Lonchura striata: one gene and its partners. The protein of the gene in region 2 interacts with the protein of the main gene of each other region in a pairwise test. Links are inferred from orthologs where the notes say so. Each region holds a gene or a part of one and is shown on either strand. Other genes may lie near its edges.

Region 1 (7,185 bases), on a different chromosome or scaffold from region 2:
CTCCTTCAAATACATTTGTTCAGTATTTGCTCTGACTGTGACTTGATGTTGACAATGCTGGATGCATTCTACAATACTTTCATACCTACATATGACTGAAAAGGATAAAAAATTCTTACAACCATCTATCTCCCTGTTCTTTCTCAGAATCTGGAAGTCCTTCAGGGAAACATGTCACTTACATGAATCTTGCCCTTGACAAAGGTGGTGATATCTTCTTCATTGTCAAAGATGGACAGAGTCTGCAGTAAGTTATTCTCCAGCCATTCCCAGTGCTTTGTGATCTCTTTACGAGATGATCCTAATTGAAGGGAGAAAGATGATGACAAGAGCAAAGAGAAAATATTAGAACAAGGTTTTTTATTCCTTTAAGTTTCTTAATTACGGTTTAAACTCCACTGAGTTTTGTCATTTCTGCAATCTTCCACTACACCATAGGAAGCTCTTAAGAAGTGTCCTGAGCAGCCAAAGGATACTCTTATGTGGGCTAACTGGTCATCTGAACCAAAAAGACAAGAGAATAACTCACATCCAATCCCCAACAAGAGTCACATACCACAGGCCACTGCCCAGTACACTTGAGAGTCCTGAGTCTGGTGCAAAATCCGGTATGGGGCAACTCTGGCACTGGAATCCAAAACCACGTCTAGAGTTCCCACAAGGAGACCTAGGAAACGAAGAGTCAGAAATTACAGCAGTGTAATACCAAAACAAAGAACTGGGTTAAGCAAAAACACAGGATGAACACTGCAGAAAACGCTGATGTTCACAGCCTGTGAACAGTTGTGATGAAGAGCTGTGGCATTTGGTTCAGAAAAAAGAGATACACATCCAGTCACTGGAGGTAAATTCCCTAAAAACCAACTGCAGCCTGTCCCACTGGCAATGGACGAAGTTTAGATGGAAATTAATTGCCTACTAAGCTTCATTACAATCCCACGCCTTCATAGAAGTATTTCCTAATGAAAGTGAAATGTGTTTTCCTCTGTGGGGTTTTTGCTTCTAATAGTGATTTTTAAGCCTACCATGCTAAAAGACACAAGAGTCATCAACGCTGTATTTTTCAGAATCACCAATGCCAAAAGTAGGTAACTTGTCCAAATGGAATCAGGTAGATCTAGAAAAACGGGTGCTCACAGGTTTCAAGGATGTTCCCAGAAGTACTTTGATTAAAAAAAATATGTCAGCGACTCAAAACTTGGTAATACAGAAGTCAAAATATTTTTATATGATGTCAAATAAGAGACACTTCCAGAGTAAATGTTGATGAACCAGACTTTGCAAGGCAAATAAATTTACTTCAAAGTCTTTATTTCAATTAGATAAAACAGATATAGAAGATGATGATTTGCTTTGTTATTATAGACAATGCATTATGAGCATCTTTAATGCAAATTAACTTTGCAACGCACTCATGATTAAAAGTTTTCTTGTATTAGAACTTGGAGAGGGAGCATGGCTGCCCCTTGGGCTCTGACATTGTAGGGGGTCCAGTTTCAATTCCCAGCTCTCATGGTTTGGGTACTCATCCATATCTCACTCCTTATCAAGAAGAAACATGCCACTTCCTCTCCCTTATCTCTCCTGCCTACCTATGTAGCAATTAACAAATTAAGAATATACCACTGATTGTCCTTGCAGTGAAACATCACCCACAGCAAGCCCATGTGACAAATGTAAGCGAAACATGTACATAACCAGCACAGCAGGATCTGTTTGGCCTCTGGGTTTCTTGTGAGTTTTAGGCAGGATATGGATTAAAAGTTAATTCTGAATCCATCCTATGACAATACTGAATGTGTCAAATATTGACAAGCAGACTGGTAACGAGATATTTAATAACTTGAGCCTGACAGCAACTCAAAAGCTTTCCAGCTGAGCTGAACATCCCACTCTAACTCTTGAGATGTCACTGTGCAGCTGCACAGCTCCTTAAGGACATGAGGCTTTTAACCTGAAGAAGCTCTGAAGATGACTCTCACTGAGCCACACTACCTCAAAAAGTAAACACAACTCAAAGCTTCAACCCATCGGGAACACACCAGTTTAAATGTTACTAGAATAGCACCAGGCGTCGTTTCTTTTTGGAAAAAACTAGGAAATTGTAGAACACAAGTATAGGCCTATATGCAAAACTGCACAAATTGGGTGACATCAATCAGAACAGTTCAAATTAATTTTGTACACTGTGAAAAGATGAAATATGCTAATGATGTTTATCAGCTGCACCACTCCTGTAATTAGTTTGTGTAAAAGGGTTAATACGTGACAGTTGCTACGTGTAATCGACAAGAGTAAAATTCACATCTTTGTAGTTCACATAATTGAAAGCATTCTGCACATAAATGGGGTTTTTAAAAGTGAGGGGATTTGCTGTAGTTAACACTGTGCTTGGGTGAAAGTCATGTTATTTTAGCAGTTTATGCCACAAACACGGCTGTCCCCCACACTCAGCGGTATTTTCCACTGGGCTGCACCCACACAGCTTCACCCCCGGCCCATGCACAGCACAACTTCCATACCGCTACTAATTATAAACCACGGCTTACTGTCATCCTCTGCATCTTGCAGAGGCACACAGACGTACAAAATATGCAAATAAACCACCTTAATAATTCAAAGCAACGCGAGCAGGGCTGAGAAGCCATTTTTGACAAGAGAAGAGGACGGTTCCAGCCACCCCACCAGCTGTGTCCTCCCCGGGCCTGACGCCGACAGCCCGGCCGGGGGCTCCGGGGTGCACACAGCGAGGAGCCGGCGGGCCGCGCCTCTCCCCCGCCCGGCCCTCCCAGCCCCGCGCCGGGCCGGAGCCTCCCCGCGGCCCCGCCGCGCCTCACCCGTCAGGCCGCCCCCTTTGCCGTGTCCCCGCCGGCGCTGGAGCAGGAAGAAGGGGTTGGCGCGCTCGGTGACCCACAGCGCGCCGGCCAGCAGCACCTCCTCGGGGCCCAGCCACATGGCGGCGGGGCTGCGGAGCGGAGCGGAGCGGAGCGGGGCCGGCCCGGCCGGGGCGGGCGCGGCGCGGGGGAGCGGCCGGGCCGGGTCACGGGGCCCGCGCCGCGCCCGCCGCCGCCGCGCCCCCTGGCGGCGCGGCCCCCTCACTGCCAACGCAGCGCGGGGTCGCGGGTTCGAGCCCCGCGTCCGGACGGCGGTGGGCGGCCGGGGTCACCGCCGCGCTCTGCAGAGCTCCTCCGCCTCCCGGCCGCACACTGTGGCATTGAAAAGACCTGACTTGAACGGCCTGAGGTTGTGTCGGGAAGGGGGAGGAGGGTGTTTAGGTTGGATATTAGAAAAACATCCACCGCAGGGGGTGGTCGAGCACTAGAACATCAGAGACATGTCCAGCACTCCTGGTCAGTCTGGCGATGCTTCCATCTCCCCTCTGGGAATATGGGAATTATTTTGCCCCTTTTGCTGTGAAGAACATGCTTTCCCAGCATCCCAGCCTCATGAATTCAGTGTGGGGGTCCTGGCATCCCCCTCCTGTCAGCTGGTTCATTTCAGTCCTTGCTTTGCAGCGCTGGAGCCCACTCAAAGCTTGTGGTCCAGTTCAAGGATGATCTTTGCAGCACACAGGACAGTGGGAGATGCAATTCCCTCTCATCCCTTGATAATAACTAAATTATTATGCCAATAATTTAGTGAACCACTATTCTTATTTCAATAACCCTTAGAGAGCCTCCAGGCAAACTTTGGAAGTGTTACAACAGCAGAAAACACTGACATCTACCATCTCTGTGCTTACTGCCCAGCTCCCAGGAAGGCAGGAATGCCATGGTTTTTTTAGGCTTTAAATCCTTTAACCCTGGATGATCCATCTTTGTTAGTGCAGTGCCCTAATTCCAGCTGGAGCCCTTGTACACTACTCTAATATAAATATATATTAGCTGGCTCAGCCTGCAGGGCTGTGCCTTCACCTCAATGGCATGGCTGTTTCTGGGGAGCAGCAGGACCGTTTCTGAAGGCTGGGTGTCCGGTGGGAAGGGTTTTGAGCACTGGGAGAAGATGCTGAAGGATCCTTCCCTGCCTAACTACTGATGTTCTTGCTCACTCTGTGCCATCTTTAAGGTGTCAAAAGCTGTGAGAAGGTGGATTAGTGTCTCCGGCATATTCATAAGCCAAAAGAAAAATTTACATCAGAGTGGGAAAAATCCTCTCTGAAAATGGATCTATTGATGATGTTGTTCCACACTATCCTCTAAGACAGATCTATAAGAAATGCTGGAGAGACTGGAGTCACTGGATGATGCTTTTATTCTCCTATATTTTCAGACACCAAACTCACAAACTCCGTATTTTTAAACTGCTTTTTATTGAAATGTAGTACATTAGCAAACCCTAACTAGTCGGTATACACTATGAACATACTGGCATATACCACGTAACTACAATACAGTGTTATACTTACATCAAAACATGTCAACAAGTTCTGCTGCTGGCAAACCACGCTTCCACAGGGGCTGGAAAGCTCTGGCTGTCGGGAGGGCACTGTGTATCCCTGTGTCCCCGCAGTGTCCCCAGACCCCTGGCAGCTGCTGGCGTGTTCAGGTTACCTGGTCACACCGGTGTGACCCACCTGGCAGCAGGCCAGTTCAAGCACACTTTTCATTTTAGACGCACGCAAATTGGGGTTTTTTTTGTTGTTTGCTGCAGTCTCCTGTGCCCAAAGGCCGGGGGTCCCCTCTCTGCTGAGATAAAATGAAGCTGTTTTGGTGGAGTCAGTGCATAGTTAGCCATGGCCTTGAGCAGGTGGTCCTGGACAGGCACGGTCATCCAGAGAAGCTTTTAGTATTTAACATCTACTTGCAAACTGCAGCAGGGCTGATGGGACAAGCACAAGAGCGATGCAATCACTCCTTTTTCTCCAAATGGTTATTCCCCATTATAGGAGTAGTACAACAGACCTTACCAGTGCTGGCAGTTAAGCTTAGACATACAGGGTGGGGACAGTCTGCCTGCTGATGTGGTGGCACAGGGAAGGCCTCTCGTTCATGTAGCACCTTCCAGCACAAGCAGAAAGCAACAGGCTGGGACCTCATGAACCCGCACCAGGAGCTTTGCTTTGACAGCCCCAAACACTCTATTCAACATTCCTGATTTAACAGCAGCAAAGAACAAGTTTACTTTCACGCCCAGGCTTTCCTGTGCTGGAGCATGGGAGGGTTGCTGAGCTGTTTTCTGTATGATCCTCCCTCCCAGAGCAGCCCAGTCTGTGGGGAGGCTGCAGGCAGCTACAGCTCCTACTGCCCAAGACAGTGTGAGGGAGTTACAGACACAGGCACGGGGGAGCCACAGCAAATCTGATGATCTATGCCTTAACACAGCCTAGCAGAACTGCTCTGCTGGGAATTAATGGCTCTTGTCCCCCTCGAGGGGTTTGGGCAGCTGAAGAACAAGTCGGAGTCAAGCAAAGTCAAGCCCCGGAGTATGTGAGAAGCAGATAAAAAAAAAAAAAAAAAAAAAGAGGCAAATGGCACATAAATGCACACAGCTGAGCTCAGGGAAAAGAATAAAAACCTCTGGCTCCTGCGGGGCTTCTGGATACAAGTGGAGAAAGGAATAGCCCAGCAGGAGTGAGGGAGCCTTCGCATACATGTCCATCTGATTTCTGGGCTGCAACCCCCCAGTCCCAGCTGTATGACACTAGCTAATGTTACACCTTAGCATTGCATTGAAATAATTCTAAGCAGCTTCAGCTTTCAATTAAACACTATGTAGTTCTTATTTGTAGAATATTAATACTTAATTATTAACTCCTTAGGAAAGGGACTATTTTTGGGTAACAGTTTGTACCACAGGGCCCCCAGGCCCAGAGACCCTGGACATTATTGCAGTAAGAAAGACAAAATATTCAGATGTTATTGCACAACGTACACATCCATTTCTGTTCACGTGAGCATCTCCATGAGGCTAATGGGCAGAAGAGCAAAAGGATGCTCCATTCAGGGATCCAGAGAATGAGCATCCCACAACAGCCCAGATCCCCAGATCCCTGCTTTGGCTGAGCACAGCCCACCAGGAACCTCTGCACTCTGACGGACCATGACTGGTTTAGAGTGATGCATCCCCTTGGAGGGGCTGATGGCACAGTGAGGTGATGGCACAGTGATGAAGAAGATGCTGGAGAACAGGTGGACAGCAGTGCCTGCACAACAGGGACCTTCACCCAGCTCTCCAGAGGAGGAAGAAGCCAGTAGTAACTGATGGAGTGGAAAGGTTGAGATTAGAATCAAGAGTGTCTGGGAATGCTGAAGGCTTTTAAAAAGACTAGGTTAATGAGAGGATCAATCAACTGACAAATAACAAGGGGTCAATTAGTGGTGCTTTGCAAAGGTTCTGTGAGCAGATTTCATCCCCCCAAAAGCACTTTGCAAGCACCAGGTAAATTTGACACACTCTTGTGAATTTGGGGTTTTTGGTCAACATCTCAGGACATCACTGGTTAGGGGTTACAGAGCATCATGGCTCTGTCTCAGGAGCAAAATCCACCTGGAGTCCTGCTCTTGTCACTGCATCCCACAAGGAACGGGTAGGGAGCACAGCTTTTTCTCTTAATTATTTCAAAGACAAGGGAAAAAAAGTAGAAATGAACACCAGCATACTGAAGTACTGTCTATCTCTCCCCTGATTTCCCCTCAGTCTGTTTAGTTGGAACATCTTTCCCTCTCTCATTCCTTCCTCTGCTCACCAGTTTCCACCAAGTGTGCCAGAGCTGAGGCTGCCCTGCAGCGCAGCAAGTCTAGCAGGGAAATGAAAAAGTGAAGATATCTTTAAATATAACAACACATATGCAAGCTTTCATGGCACATCACACACTTTTCTGCACCGCTCAGGCTGGAAAATTAGGTCAAGTGTAGCTGGGTAACACAGGGTGAAAAAGAGCAAAAGCTTTACTTGGGAATTTGAAGGTGTTTCCTGAGGTCCCTGCCCTGAGCTCTGCTGTCCTTCTCTCCCCACCCTGCAGGGCTGGCAGCAGCCCTGTGGCTCTTGCCTTTGCCCCACTGTGCCTTGGCTTCTGAGCTGCTGTGCTATTTCCTGTGCTGTAAAAAACAAATGGCTATTAGCTAAGCAAATTAACAAGTATTTTTTAATAATTAAGTCAACTCACCAGTAATCAGGCTGCAGAGCTGCCTTAACTTCAGCTCAACCCTGGTGCCTTCATCCTTCAGCTCATGAGCTGACTGTGGA
Region 2 (7,524 bases):
ACATGCCCTGTGTTCTGCCAGCTTGTGTCAGAGCAATCCACACACATCGCACAAAGAAGTGTACCAGAGAGGAGAAGGAGGACTTCAAAGTTTATATCCCTCAAAGTCTCCCCATTCTTTGACTTCAGAAGCTGCACCTCCTCACACCTCATTTACACTCACCATCCTGACCTGTCAGTGTCCCATCTGCCAGCTGTCCTGTGCCCTGTGAATGGAGGAAGGCCCCGATCTTAGCTGACCAGGATGCCTTGTGCAGAACTTTAGCTTTCTTCGTTGGTGGCTTCCCCTATAAAAGAAGAATGATTAGAAACATTAATGGCACAGGAGACTAAGCCACTCTCTGGAACTGGGCATACATCTCTTCCTTGGGACAATTTTCAGTCTACTACAGTATTTATTAACACTCACAGGAACAAGAAACAGCAGGTAAAATACATGTGTGTCCTTTCTCAGCTCTTAGGGAACACCACCTTTAAGCTGTCATGCCTTCTCTGGAGACTTCAGGAAGGAAGAATAAGCCACTGGGACTGTCAGTCTGATATTCAATTAAAGAGCAACCCTACATAAAGGCAGATCCTGCTCCATCCCCAGGAAATCTCACAGAATTATAGATTCTCTCTGAAGAGCTGGAAGTATGCCTTCCTAAAGTTCAAGAGCATGACTTTACTCCTTAGCTGACCTATATTCCTCAAGATTAGAAATTCCACCAATGCATGACCACTGCAACTAGAGCCACTGCCTCTAGTCTTGACCAGCAGGTCTACTGTTGCATTCTCTCTGCTACAGCTGTCTATTCCTTGGCTTAAGAAATTATCCCACATACGTTTCAGGAGTCTCCTGGATTACCTACAGCCTGCCATGCTACTTTCTGTAGGTATAGGAGTGGTTGAAGTTCCCCAGCATGACATAAGCCTACAACCATGATGGAGCCAGAGAGCCAGCTGGAACAGTTTTAACGTACCTGCAGTCTGGCCAGGATGCTGGCCTTTTTGGAATTTGAGGAGTAGCTTCTGGAGCAGGAGACGCTGCAGAAACGTTTAGTCTTGGAGAAGAAAGCCTCCCTGGTGCCCACAATCCCACACATTTCGCACACAGCTGCAAGAAGGAAGGCCAAAAACGTGAGGATTTTGCAGAGTCAATGCACCACGGTGACAGAGCTGAGACCAGCTAACCATGATTATACAGTGCAGATCCCCCACATAGCCCAATAAATGCAGTCTGAATCCAAAGTTGCTCCCAAAGCATCCCCACACACCTTTCACTGCCCCTGAACATACTTCAGGCAGCACAGGCAGTACCTGGCTCGGAGCCATTGTCTTCTGTGAGCCGGCCTGTGGATGGCTGGTGCATCGGAGATGTTGAAAGCTCTCCAGCTTCCCGGTCTGCCACCTCATCATCGCTAGATTCCTCCAGACAGGAGCTGCTGTCACTGCCCATGCTGCTGTTGTAGCACGTGAGGCTGTCATAACCCCCAAAGATGTCCAATTCATCATCCTCCTCATCAGCATCACCTTCCTCCTCCACCCGCTCCAAAGATGAAGTTTTGTGGCCAAAGGCAGACACCATCTAGAAAAAGAGCCAATTTACTTTAAAATCAACATTTTACACCCCACTGCACAATAAACCTGCCTTTGCTGCTGGAGGAGGCCCTCTTGGGCCAGGGAGTGGCCTCAAGGCAGGCAAGGAATCCACATAACAACCCCAAAGGCGGGACTCTGAACTGCCTTCCCCCAAACAGATCCCTTTACTGGTATTCAACATGCTGCATTCTGCTTCCCAAGAGAAAAGTGCTGTTGCTAGATAAAAAGAATCTTGAGGAACATAGAAAATACAGGGCAAAGCACTGCCTTGCTGATGAAGACAGATGAGACTGCGTCCTTCCCGGCAATGTTCCTCCCAACATAGTTGCACAGCATAGCAGCACAGAGACCATCACAATAAAGCCAGCACAGACTTCCACAATGGAGCACAGGCTGCACGTTCCTGCCACCACAGCTCACAAGACCAGCACAGCCTGGAAGTCAGCAGGACCAACTCAGTCCTGGAGACAGTTTATGTCCTCTGAAAACTACAGAGTCCACAGCTGACCTCGGTTCAGAAACTACACCAGCAGGATAGCAGAACGTTTGTATAGGTTTTTGTCTAAACCCAGATGCCTCCACAGCTAAACATCTTCACTGGCTCTTCGCAGTTGCTGTTACAGCAGGAGAGCTGCAAGGCAAAGACTGAAGAAAGAGCACAGAAAAACAGTGTGTCTCAGACTAGAAGAATCTTGAACCAGGCTCCAAATAAGCATAAAAGAAACTAGGAAAATATGTTAGCAACTCATGAAAGAGCAGCAAAAACAGCATCAGCACAGGAAGTGATGGATCAGAAAGGCAGATTCAAACAGCTACATGAGGCAGGAGGATACCATTGTTCCTCCAAGTGGGCAACAACAAAAGATCAGCAGAAAGCCTATCACCTTCCAGTGCTAAATTCCCTCTGACCCCTGGCTCTAGCTGTCATTATAGACACGTGGTCAGGAAAATCAGACTTCACTCACTGCTGTCTCCCCGCATCCTCCCTGGCTTTCACACAACACAGATCCAAGGTTCCCAGGTTATTCCCTGAACAAAGAGTTCCTGTCCTACGGATCCAGGCCCTCAGATAGCATTCCTGATGTCTTGAAAGGCCTGAACTCTAAAAAAACAAATATTTTCATCGCCTTCTAGTCCCTGTGTGGGTGCATTTTACACCAGCTCGTAGGACGTGAGCACCATTGCATCGTTACTCTTCCACAACAGGCGAGTGAAACTTGCGGATATTGTTACAAGTCCCCAGGGCTGCCAAGCAAAGGCAGCATCACCCGGAGCCTCCTCGGCAAGCTGAGGGGGACGCGGGGGCCCATCGCGTCGGGATCAGAAGGACCCGCCGCCGTCCCCAGGAGCAACCCAGCCGGGGCCCCAGAGGAGCCCCCGCCGCGTCCCGCTCACCTCCCTCCGGTCCCGCTCCATGGCCCCGCCACGCCAGCCCGCCTCACGCGCCTGGAGAGCGTCCCCCCTGAGCTGCGCGTCCGATTGGCGAGAACAGCGGAAAGCACAGCAAATCAGCGGGGAGTTTGTTCCCGCCGCTCTGCCCGCGGGTCATGACGGGAGCTGTAGTTCTTTTCCCGCAGCTATGGCGCCTCGCGGCGGTCCCACCCAGGAACGGGCTGGGCTCTGCTGCCGTCTCCCCGGCTCCGTTCTTGCTTGTGGTTCGGTATTAGCCCACTCAGTCCCAGAATGGCTTGGATAGGACCGTACCCTAGAGATCATCCAATTCGACCCCCCTGCGGAGGGCAGGGTCATTTTTCACTAGAACAGGTTACCCAGAGCCCAATCCAACCTGGCCTTGAGCACTCCCAGGGATGGGACATCCATAGTTTCTCTGTGCAGCCTGTGCCAGTGTCTCACCACCCTCACAGTAAAGAATTTCTTCCTGTATCTAATCTCAATCTGCCCTCCTTCAGTTTAAAGCCACTAGTCCTTGTTCTGTCATTATCTGCTCATATAAAAAGTCCATCTTCCTCTTTTTTATTACCCCCCTCTAGGTACTTTAAGGCTGCAGCGAGGTCTCTCCAGAGCCTTTTCTTCTCCAGGCTGAACAACCCCAGCTCTATCAGCCTGTCAAGAAACTTATGTAAAGGTAAGCCCCTGGAGGCAGTTTCCATTTTCCACCCTCTTATTTTGTTATCATTGTCACTGTGTTGACGTTGTAGGAGGAAAAAAAAAAAAAAAAAAAAAAAAAAAAAAAAAAAAAAAGGGCTGTATTGAGCATTCCTAGTGTGTATGGACTTTGTAGTGAGTGGCTGAACAAATAATGTATGAAGCACAACTGCACAGTCTTAGCTGCAGGTGGGAGTAAAGCAGCATGGAAAAGGTTCATTCCAAAGGCTCTTCCAGACAATCCAAAAGCTCTAACATGGGGCTACAGCCTGTAGATATAAACACAAAGAGATGTCACTATCCATATGAAACACGCTGAGAATCTGGGATAGTGGTCACAGCCTAATTTACAGAGGGAAATGTCAGGGAGCTGGCAAAGCCACTCTGCAAATCAATCAGCAAATTTCCTTAGCACCAGGGATCCTCCACATTCAGGTTTTCCAAGCAGTCCTCCACCAATGTTAAAAATAGAAAATTGCTGTAAAATAGTATAGTTAATAATGAAATAAATCATAATGACGGTTATTCACTTGTAAATACTGCTAGACATTGCATGGCATTGCAGACAGCAAAGCTGTTTCCAGAAAAGACACAGTACAAAATTAAAGGCTCATTAAGTCTTTCTACTGCAATAATCTTTCATGGAACACGTTGTGAGCTATAACTGGTGTGCACCACCTGCGCCCTTCCCAGAGTGGAACAAGCAGGTCACACCCTTAGGTCACACTCAGGCTGGCTCAAGGCTTCTTGAAGGCTTCAGTAGAAATGAGTCCTGTGTTCACACAGAACAAGCTTTAAAAGGGAAACCCCACACCACAGCTCTTCATTTTTCATTGCAGTTCTAAACAATCCTTTTGAATAAATAACAGTATTTAAATAAATTCATTTTAATGTGAATCAAGTTCAATTTGATTGAGGAATACTTATATTCTTTTCAATAATAAAAACTCTGTTATGTAACAACAATCAAAACTAACTCCTTTCTTTAGAGAGAGAACAGCACTGGCAATATCAGGTAACTAAAACCCAACTCTTAGATTACACTTCACTTTTCCCATCTCCTTCCCTACTGCTGTTCCGGGCTTGGTCTGTGTTTTAACATAATCTGCAATAAAAATTTTAGAAAGATCAGTATCAAAGGGCTGCTGTCAGGTGCAATGACAGAAGGAGCCCTGGCTGCAATGGACAGGGAGCCAGGCTGCTTCCTCAGGCGCTCAGATCCAAGGTGTGCAGCTTTTGTACTTCAGCATATACTCTGCCCCTCATTACCACAACTTCTTTCAGGAGCCTTGTCTCACTGGCTCTTTGTGCTTGTCTACTGCGACTGTCCTCTCACCCATGCTCTGGGATGCAGAGCTCATGTTTCAGACCCCCAGTCTTCATAAATTCATCTGCTACTTCTCCAGAGCCTCCTTTTTCAGTTTTCTCCTCTGTTATTGCAAAGAGCTCATGAGAATCCTGTGCTCCAGGGGCTTTTTTTCACTTCCAACACTAAGTGCCAGCCATTCCACTACAGGCCTTCCAAATTCTTGTGTGTAGGCTCCTCCTAGCTGACACTGTGAAAAACCAAAATACTTTGAAGGGTTTAATTTTTGTCATGAGCACTGGGAAGGGAACCATTTTGAAGAAAAAGTATTCATAGACACGTAAGCTTTGGCCATACATTCATAGTACTGTCTTTGAAAAAGGAAAATAGGGTAGTGAGCTGGGAAAACCAAAAAGCAAACAGAAGGAATAATATAAGGAAACGTATTCTGCTTAACCTTTGGCAGACTAATTTTACCATGGTAACTGAAATGGAGAGGCATGTCCTGCACTATGTATGACAACAGCCTACTTGCGGGTGGGAGATTTGAGCAGTTGCTGTTTTCTAGATCTCTCTTGTGGGCCGAGGAGCTTGCAGAAAACCCTCGTCAGATCAAAATGCTACAGTAATGTTCTTCTGCATTTGCAGCCACTTGTCACAAGGTTACACTATAGGATTGACATAGTAATTTGTATAGTGACCAAATAATCCAACCCCAGACCCAACAGGCAACCCAGTTAAGGGCACAAATACTAAACTAGCCTGTCCTTCCTTGCTATTTTACTATCACATTAAATCTGTCAATATATGTCAACACAACTCTACATACAAATACTAATGAAACAGTAAATAATTTTTGTCCAAATTAAAAAAACTCAAACAAAAAAATAAGGAAACAAAAAACCAAAACAAAATCCCAGAAAGCAACTACAGCCAGTTCCAAGGCTATCCTGACAAGGAGAGGGAAGAGTTAACTGCCTAGGAGATCTATCTTGGTTTGAAGCGCTTATCCCATCCCAGACCCCCAAGAAATCTGGCTTTTGAGAGCTGAGCTGTGCTGCCTCTTGATCCCTCTACAAGCTTTTTAAGGAAGACATGGGGCGACATTGTACTGGGAGCTCATTTCAGTGCCACACTGGTGTGGGACAGTACAGACAATGAAAAGCAGAAGTGAAGAGGAAAATAAAATGAAAGACTTTTTGCTTTTCAGGGCAGCAGAAGCTCTGCACTTTCAGCCAGAGGATCAGGATTGGCAAAGAGCTTTCTTCTGGTAATGACCTTTCAGTTCCTGCTATTGCCCTGGGGACTGCAGGGACATGAGGAGAAGAAAAAACATGTGTTTGTGGTTGCCTCCCATATAACTCTGTGCTCCCAAGATACACTAGAGCCTGCCACCAGCCAGCACACCTGGGGAAAAAACCACAGTCTGAGCTGTGCCAACTTCACCTGCAAGGCTGACAGCAGCTGAGTAGCTCTCCAGCCATGATGCAAACACAGATGCTGCTGCAACACCTGAGGATGGAACGTGTTGTGCTTTTACACTTTCAGGGGCCAGGTTATGCTGTGTCTCAGGCTGGGATCTATGGCACAAAATCTGCTTTGACAAGCTGAGGGAAAAAATGGCTCCTTGGGCAAACTGGCAGATACCCCAGTATTGTAGGAAGGCAGTAAAAATAAATATTCCCCAGACAGAGCACCCTCTGGCTGTCTTCAAATAAAAGCTCATTTTTAGGGTAGTAAGCCTCATCACATACTTAGGCAGAATTGGTCATTAGGAGCAGACTCTTCTGATTGGTGCTGTCTTTCACTACAGGATCTGTTCCAGATTGTCCAGAGAGGATAGGCTGGAGTCATTGAGTTTGGCTGAAACTGGAAGCAGCAAAAAGACCATCTTGGAAACAGGAGGTGGAGTTTCTTGCAGGGAAATTGTGTATCATATACTGGAAAAATGAAACAAAAGCTGGAATGGCTGTCACTGTCACATCATCCACCTCAGCCTTGTCATGGTGCTGCCACTACTGGTAAGAGGCCACCAGCTCTGCTTTATGTGAGACTTTGTCAGGCTTTGCCTGGGCTTGTCTTGGCCTGCCAGGAGCTGCCATAGCTCGTTTTGCTGTTACAACAGTTGTCTAATGACCAGGTGACTGCTACCAAAATCATCTTCGGTTTTGTGCCAAATAGTTTGGGCTACCCAGTACAAGAGAGACATGGGTATAGTGAATCCAGCAAATGGGCAGCACAGTGATGAGATTAGAGCCTCCGTCAGATGGAGAGAGGCTGAGGGAGCTGGGATATTGGAAGGTCAAACATTAGAAAGTTTACATCACTGAACTACACATTATTTGAGTACAACCATTAGCATCGTTGTAACTGGACAATCAACATCTGACTAGATTGCTAGAACTTTGGGTGTGAATTCTTTTTGGTAGTCCAAGAGTCTAATAAATAGGAGTGAAACAACCTAACTTGGACACAACTGAATGGCAAGAGATACAGATGACACCCTAATTTTGTTCTCTCCCTGAAATCCTC
Region 3 (8,085 bases), about 42 Mb from region 2:
GATTCACTTAAAAGGTGGAACACAAGTGGAGGGCAGCATAAACAGCTCCTTCCACAAGCAGCACACCTGCACCTCTGACCAAACAGGCACAGCACTGGAAAAGTCTCCTGGAAGTCACTTTTTTGTTACGTGCTGTTTATTTGTACAGCACGACTGTCAGAAAAGGCACAAGAGAAGGAACAACCCAGTATGTAAACTAAAATCAAGCCTAACCCAGCAATTCTATAGAATGAGAAGGGCCTGGAAAGAAAATGAGGGGAAAACAACTACACCACAGAACTGGAGAGGTCAGCGATGAGGTGCTACACAAAGGATTCCTCTGCTTCCCGAGCACGCCCAGCCAATGAAATGGGTAAAGGTGAAGTTTGAGATATGACATCGAGGAAGTAAAAGCTTCTTTTATGAGACTAAACTGGCAGGATTTATGCTCCCTTCCATGATCACTAGCTGTCCTGTTGAGCAGAGGGTGTGATGAAGTGGCTTGGTGGGCACCTGATGGCCAGCCAGTCAGGGTCTACCTGCCACACTCTGCAACTCTGCACCTTCATCCTCTCAAGGACATTCCAGATCTGTGGAAGCAAGTATGTGGAAACTAGGACTTAAAGACTTACAGACTCATGGTCTTTAGATATACAGATTACACAGTTTCTTCTCCAGCACTTCCCTATATATCTAGCTGGTCACAATATTCCTCTGGTCTGCAGCTGCTGCCTTAAAGTCACCACATTTCACCCCAGAGGTGACTGCATTTTAGCACAGGAATTGATTTTCTTTTGATTTGATCATTATTGATCATTGTGATAAGGTGCTCAAAGTTATTTTTGGGACAGAATAAGCATGGTATGTATCGGCACACATCAATAGCAGAGTGTCTTACTAACCAACTCATACAGCATAGCCTTTTCTGTTTGCTTTCTTTTCTGTGTCTTGGATGTCACAGTCCAGGCACTGGGAAACTGTATCAATTTCACAACAGTAAACACTAAACTGTGACATTACAGAATAACTCCTGCAAGAGGCAAAGGCCAATTACAAGAGACAATTATTTATACATAATTATCTTTCTAGTCAACTGTGATAGAAAACAGTATGAGAGTGCAAACTCATATACAAAACCTGATTTTTATCTCCTCCATTCTCAAAGTAAAAAGACACTATTTTCTCTCTAGCATATGTTTTTAGTGTAGCTTTTTATTTTACTTTCTACATCCAAAAAGAGACCACACATAAAATATTATTAATAATGTACCATCATAACTGGATTTACCTATTAAAATAAGGTTAAATAGACTGCCTCATACACCGAGGCATATCTAAACCTGAACGAAATGGCAACTGAGATTGGCAAAACAGTCACCTATTTCTGGCAAATACTCTTTTTATAGGCCCATTAGGATAGAAAGAAAAAAAAGCAAAATTTCAGTTTTGTTTCACCACCTCCATGCTCCAGCGCAGTCATGCACTAACTCTGCCTCCAAGTTGGGAGCGTGTTCAGTACCAAAACCCCACAAACCAAACCTGTTCTCTGTAAAATTACACCCTTGATAAGTTTGCTTAATGGATACAGACCTCCAATGCATTTCAGACACGTCTGGCAAGTCCCTGCCCCTCTAGCTTTAACAGGGACCATGTGTGATGTCCCAGACCCCCCTACCACAATACAGCAGTCATTATTTACTATTCCCACCAAGTGAGTTTATTTCCATATTTGAATTTCTTCACTTCAAACGTAATTTTACAGAGCACTCCTCAGACAGCAAGTCTTGACACTCGTGTGTGTGTGTCCCCCTTTTCACCAGTGTGACATTAAACCCAAGCAGTCACCTGCCTTGAACTTGGCATGCAGGACACACACAGCGTTTCATGGAGATATTCCCGTCCAATACTTGGGAACACAAAAGGAAAAACGATCTCGAATCAAATCCATCAGGACAAAAACATCTCATCGGCCGGAGAAGGGATAAATCCCCAAGCAAAATAAATCCCTAGGGCTGGGAAGTCCACCTGTGAAAATGCCTACCAGCGGCTGTATCTTTTCCCCCCTTTAATTAAAGAAAAAAACAAGAAGACTGAACACAGAGCTGTGCTTCTTGTCCGACATGAATTAAAATATTTCTCCCTTCACGATCCCTTTTAAAAGATCCTCTTTTCCAAAAGCAAACACACCCCGAGCGAACAAGTTACACGGCAGCGGCTCTCCCCTGCCCACGTACAATTAATTACCTGCGTGGATTTTTAATAAAGCGATCTCGATTCAGCTTTTCTTGAAATACACGGATGTACACAGCCGAGGAGAGGAAAAAAACCACCCCAAATACAATAAACCCACAAGAGTTGAATACCAAGAAGGTCTGTCGCTGCTCAAGTGTCATTATTTTTTGCTCTCTTCCCGTTTTTACCTTTTCTCCCCCCCGCCCAAGCAGGATTCACCACGAAACGCGATCCAACTTTATTTTGTGCAAGGTTCTCTGCTTGAAAAAAAATAACACGTCCACCTGAGGTGGTGGTGGTTTTGCAACAACACGTAACACATATGCAAAAATAATTAAAAAAAAAAAAAGAGGAAACGGGGGTGAAAGAAATAAAATTAAAAAAAAAAAAATAAATAGGCGTGCAATGGTTTCGGGGAGTTGAGGCAGAGGATTGCGGAGTTCAATAACAGAGCCGGGAGGGAGCGGCGGCCCGGGGGCGCCGGCGTTTCATAACGCCCCGCTCCCCCCGGGGCAAAAGTCGGGGCTGCCCCCGGCCAGCGAACAAAGCCCGGCCGCCCGCGCCTTACCTTCGTTGACCAGTTTAAAGCTTTGGGATTTCCTGCTCCTCTTCCTCTGGGCGAACTCCATGGTGTGGGCAGGAAGGAGCGGGGCGGACACAGGACCGAGCTCCGTCCCTCCGATCAGCAATACACGCGGGGGTTGGGAGAGACGGCGGCTCCGGCGGCGAATAAAGGGATCCGGGACAAGTTGGCTCCGGTCTCCCCCTCGCTCCCGCCCCGAACTTTGAGGAAAAGCGGGGTGCGGCGGGGGGAGCCCCGCGGGGGCGATGCCGCCGCCTTCCCCCCCGCCGGCTGCGCGGCCGCGGCCCGGCGGCGAAGGGCGGCCCGCAATGGCTTCGCCGCCGGCGCCGGGACCCCGGTGCCACCTGCTGGGGGAAGGAAGGCGGCGGTTCCGCCGGCCGGGAGCCGCCACCGCCACCCCGGGGCCGGCCCGCCGCCACTCGGCCCCGCCGCGGGTTGAGGGCGAGGGGCTGAGGGGCAGCGCCATTTTGTGTCCCCCGCCCGCCGCCCGCGCGCGGCTCCGGCGCTGCCCGCCCGGCGCTGCCCGCGGCTCCGCTCGGGGCCGAGCCGGGGCAGCTCCTCGCGCTCGGCGGGACCGGGACTGGAGCTGGCGTGCGGAAGTGGGTTAACCTGAGGAACTGATGGCAACACCTGTTTGTTGCCGTGTTTTACAGGGATCATCGCAGCGATGTGTCCGCTGGTGTCGTGGACCGAGGCCTGGAGAAGAGCGGCGAGCCGCCGGCTGGGATGAGCTCTGCCAAACCTGGATCCCTCAGCAGGAGGAAGAGAGGCTCGGCTCTCCAGAGCAGCGAGATTTAGGGCGTCTGGCAGCCCTCCCGACGGTCACCGTGAGGTCACTGCAGCCATACGGCTGGCCCAAACACAGCTGAAATTAGTGCTTTGATTTATTTACCACTTGATGCCTTCAGCCACACTTCCAGTTCGCTCACTGTGCGAAATTCACTGAGGGTGGAGTGATTTTTTTTTTTTTTTTTTTTTTTTTTTTTTACAGCCGAGAGTGCTTTTGCCTGTTGCCTGTAGAGAAAGAACTCAGGCGTTTACAGTTATGACTACTGATAACTGCAAACACAGCTCCGATCATCATATTGTGTTTTACATGTAGTCAGACTGTGTTGTGACAAGAAGACTATGTGATACTTGCATACGCCTACTTGAACAGATGCAAAATGCAGATCTTGCCTTGGTCTCTTCAGAGCACCCAGGAGAATCCCGTTAGCTCCAGTAATATTGACCGACCCTATCACTAGGTATAATGACATAAAATGAGCAGGAGGGAAGAAAATTGAATACTAGCAGTAGTGATTTGTATCCTAACTGTGTGCATGCACACAGTCAGACCTGAATTCTTCGGTGCAAGGTGCCATCCAGACACTACACAGAGGATATACCTAGTTCTGAAAAGAAAAATTGGGAAATAGCCTTAATGGTGAAGCAATATCAGAAAATATGCCTAATGGTAAAATTTATTATATGCTGGAAAATTAAATTCACTAGGGAGGTTATGGAAACCTCACAGATTGGGTAGGGGTGTAATTTTCTATTAAATTGCTAAGTGGAAAATCCCAGAGGCAATCAATATGCTACTTTTGGAATTTTCCTAAACTTCTCTGTAAGACTTTATGAAAGGAAACTGGGCTAGCGTACTATTTAAAATCCTGCATTACATATTTTTGGGAGGATGCTGAAGCAGCAAAGGTAGATGGATGTCATATACTGTTTGCTGGATTTTGTGGGTCCAATTAATCTCTGGTACAGTGCAATGAAGCTGGGTCTGAAATGCAGCAGCAGTGTGCTTAAAATTTTCATACAAAAACAGTATTTTCACTTTTTTTTTCTCCCCTCCCCAGACGGTCTGCTGATTCCTGTCTGCTAACTAACTTTATTTACAGGACTTATATGCTGAAACTGTTACGTTTGACGTTTGACTCTCATCCTTCCTGGGACAATAGAAGAATTTTTATAAAGCATAAGGCCCTCATTTACAGTTTAGCTCACATGATGAGCTTTATCCTGCATTTGCCAAAGGAATGTGCTACAAACATCTTTTCTGTTTTACTCTGTTACTCAATTTTGTGAAACATTTTGGGGTATAATTTATGAAAATGTGATGGCAGTGTTTTATAAGCTGCTCTCTTACTGGTTTTAGTTCTTCCTTCCCTGTGCTGATAATTTGCTTAAAGGGACACTCATGGTTTTAAATGACATTTCAGTCTGGGCAATGCAGTTTCTAGTAATGTTTTCCAAGAGTTGGCACATCCTCTTTTCCACTGATATTTCTCATTTTCCTTTATGTGAGTTAGATCTATCCTTTTCATGCAGAATAAAGCTGATCCTGCAAGCTGGCCTAATTGTGGTCGCTCAGATGAATAAATCTTGCAGCTTTCATTTCTGAAAGTATGAGCCAGTGTGGATACTGCAGCTCCAGTCTTGCCATCTCATCTGCATAAAAGTGAATTAGAAACTAGGACAAGGTGACTTTAGGTCAAAGTCTTGTAGTTATCCATACAACACGTAGGAGGATCCGGTAGCTGGAAGTAGCTTTGTCCTACACTGCTGGTGCTTCTCAGCAGGGACTTAGAAAAAATGACACAAACTCAAAGGCTCCCATGTACAGGGAGCTGTGAGTCTGTCACTGGGCATTTTGGGGTGGGCATCCTAAAATTGGACTGGGATCATCTGCTCGTTTGTCACAGGCCACCATTGCATTATTCCAGCTGGAGAAATGTAGAGATGAAAGTCCTCTTTATCCCATTAGAATGGCTGCCTTGTGTCACCCTAGATAGTCACTGGCTGCATTGCTGTGGCAGCCAAGTGACTTAGGATAAAGTGCACACTGGCTCTGGGGAGCAGACAGCTTTTAATTTCATCTTTTATTTCAGTTTCTGTCTCAATATCATGCTATTATTACATATTAAGAACCCATAGGTCTTTTTGGTGAAAATATGAAAAAACTGAGCATTTTGTATCTATTAATGAATAGATACAAAGTTTTCAAAGTGTTTCCTCAAACCATTAACCGAGTAATGTGTTTTTCAAAATGCCTTAAATTGGCCAGCTAAATAAGGGCTTTGTCTTGCAACATGTCCCAAGTCAGTATGATCATCCCTGATTATTTCTTAGTTAACATTTTATTATGCTTCAAGTTACTTTCAAAATATCCCCTCCCCATTCTAACTGATGGTAATTTTTCCAACAATTTTCTGGTGTGTAGAAATACTTTTTCATTTCAGACACGAGCTAACTGATTAAATATAATTAATCTAGTAATATTTCGGTGTTAACAGCAGCAGTCCTCTTCACACAGGATGTCCCAGACTTTTTGTTTCCAGGTGTGCCCAGTTCATGATAATATTTTATTATTCAGAAGTAGGATGGTATAGGACAAAGATGACTAAAGAGTCCTAGAGCTGAGGAGAATTAAATAAGTGCACTAAGCTGAACCACTTCAGATTTTCAGTTGGAAAAATTATAGTGGAGAAAGTCTCATAAACTCAGTGATTCGATCTGAGGCTTAAAGTCTAATGTCAAGGAATTCATGTGAGGCCATGTGAAGTGGGAAGAGGCTGCTGACTGTCATATTAATAGCACCATGATTACCACTCATCTTGGAGCCTGACGAGATTCCGTGTGGTATTAGAAGCAGGAGAAGGGTGAAGAGGTAAATTGGAGACCAGGAGCTGTGCAGGTGACAGGTTAATAGGTGAGCTATTTTGGTTAGTTATGTGTAATGAATGGCACTGAGGATTTTATAAACTGTAGTAGTGTTTCCAGTGGTGGTTTTGAGGTCATATGACATACGTAGGCAGTACTTAGCCCCCAAGCTGACAATAGGCCACATTGTGCTCTGCTGTCTCACTACAAACCTTCCCTTTCAGCAGGCTCTCAGGCTGGCATATCCAAGGACTGGGTCATTAGAGAGAAAGATGTCTGGATGTCCTGAAGAATTCTGAAGTCAGGAGTGCAGTTTAACTTCTTTTCTAATCCTCCTTAATTTTTTCGTGACCATTTGAGTCACAGTACTTGACATTTCATGTCTCTGTCCTTACTCTCTTTTTCTTTTGGAACACAGTTGTGAAATGCCTTCTTGTCCATCCTGCTGCTTGTTAATCTTTCTCATATAAATTTTAAAGAAAAAAATTACAGGACAGACCAATGTTTTCATCTGTTTGCTAGCTCAAGGAGACCAAAACATTCCAGAACTGTTTCAACAATAAGGAATATAACTGAATCTATGTACAAAGAGTTCTTTGTGTGTGCAGTCATAAACCTTCTGAATATTTCCATATCAGAATGCAAACCTTCTAATCATTTCCATATCAGAATGCAAACCCCCTTTTGACTATAAGGTTGACTATAAGGTTTTCCCCTGCTCTGTGAATTTATGTACAGCTTGGAGTAAGATTGCAAGAGGAAGGCCACTGCATTCTAAGAGTCAGTGCTTGATGGTCATCCACTCTGATCCAATACTTGTGGCATAATGGATATTAAGTCATCCCTAAGACAAACTAGTGTTTGGATTTGAATTCGGGGAATGGAGAGGAGACCAAAGTGTCTAAGTAACAGCTGTAGTTGAAGGATGATGAAGAAAAGGTCTCAACAATGCTCTTTTTTATGAAAGAGGATACGGAAGAATAAAAGAAATCTGTCCATATTCATGGATATCTTCTGCTTCTCTGCAACATGGAGAAACCATGGGCTGAACTAACTTTGGCCTTACAACCCAAGTGCTTCAAGGGAGCTGAGGACGATGTAGGGCTTGTTATTTTGCCTAGAAATTTGAACTTTTCTGCTATAAAGAGTACTAATGCTTAGAAATTTTAGTCTGGATGTGTCTTTGCATTACTACCACCTCTGCCTAAGAGAAATATAAACCAGGCTGGTGTCCTCAGAAAGGGCATGTTTGAGCTTTGGGTCATCCCAGAGTCAATGTCAACGATGCCAGCCCAAGCACAGCAGTCAGCAGTCCCAGTTCTGATGGATGCTGCAGGCACAAATTGCAGCAAGCTCAGTTCAGGGTCCAGCAGCCCAGTGAGTCCCCTGCTAGGGAGAGTTCCAAGAGGTTTATGCTGCTAATCATTCCTCCATTTTTGTGTCAGTTTGCTTCAGCCACAGCAGCTGAAGGCAGATGTAAGAGTGCAGTGATGCAATCGCTGGAGCTACAGATGGAAAACTAATGCAGCATCAGCTGCAGGAACAAAAGCATTTAACACCATCAGACAGCTCCTTGAGGCTGCGGGGTGAAGCCCTGGCAGCAGCCATGCTCCTCTAAGTCCTGACTGAGCCTGATGTGG

What was found.
Region 1: the proteins of L3MBTL2 (region 2) and TBC1D9B interact in binary tests that used the Homo sapiens proteins (3 or more experiments, as listed by UniProt). The two-hybrid records come from large-scale screens. The link is inferred for Lonchura striata from reciprocal best matches to the Homo sapiens genes L3MBTL2 and TBC1D9B.
Region 3: the proteins of L3MBTL2 (region 2) and BEND7 interact in binary tests that used the Homo sapiens proteins (3 or more experiments, as listed by UniProt). The two-hybrid records come from large-scale screens. The link is inferred for Lonchura striata from reciprocal best matches to the Homo sapiens genes L3MBTL2 and BEND7.

What each region holds. Positions count from the first base shown.
Region 1 is NC_134617.1:6,674,206-6,681,390, reverse strand, and holds the start of TBC1D9B (TBC1 domain family member 9B), read right to left. Parts: upstream 3,009-7,185; 5' UTR 2,956-3,008; coding exon 2,838-2,955; intron 668-2,837; coding exon 557-667; intron 302-556; coding exon 183-301; intron 1-182. UniProt on the Homo sapiens protein: May act as a GTPase-activating protein for Rab family protein(s).
Region 2 is NC_134607.1:25,003,734-25,011,257, reverse strand, and holds the start of L3MBTL2 (lethal(3)malignant brain tumor-like protein 2), read right to left. Parts: upstream 3,053-7,524; 5' UTR 2,997-3,052; coding exon 2,976-2,996; intron 1,567-2,975; coding exon 1,299-1,566; intron 1,096-1,298; coding exon 962-1,095; intron 287-961; coding exon 163-286; intron 1-162. UniProt on the Homo sapiens protein: Putative Polycomb group (PcG) protein. PcG proteins maintain the transcriptionally repressive state of genes, probably via a modification of chromatin, rendering it heritably changed in its expressibility.
Region 3 is NC_134607.1:66,508,352-66,516,436, reverse strand, and holds the start of BEND7 (BEN domain-containing protein 7), read right to left. Parts: upstream 3,085-8,085; 5' UTR 2,841-3,084; coding exon 2,780-2,840; intron 1-2,779.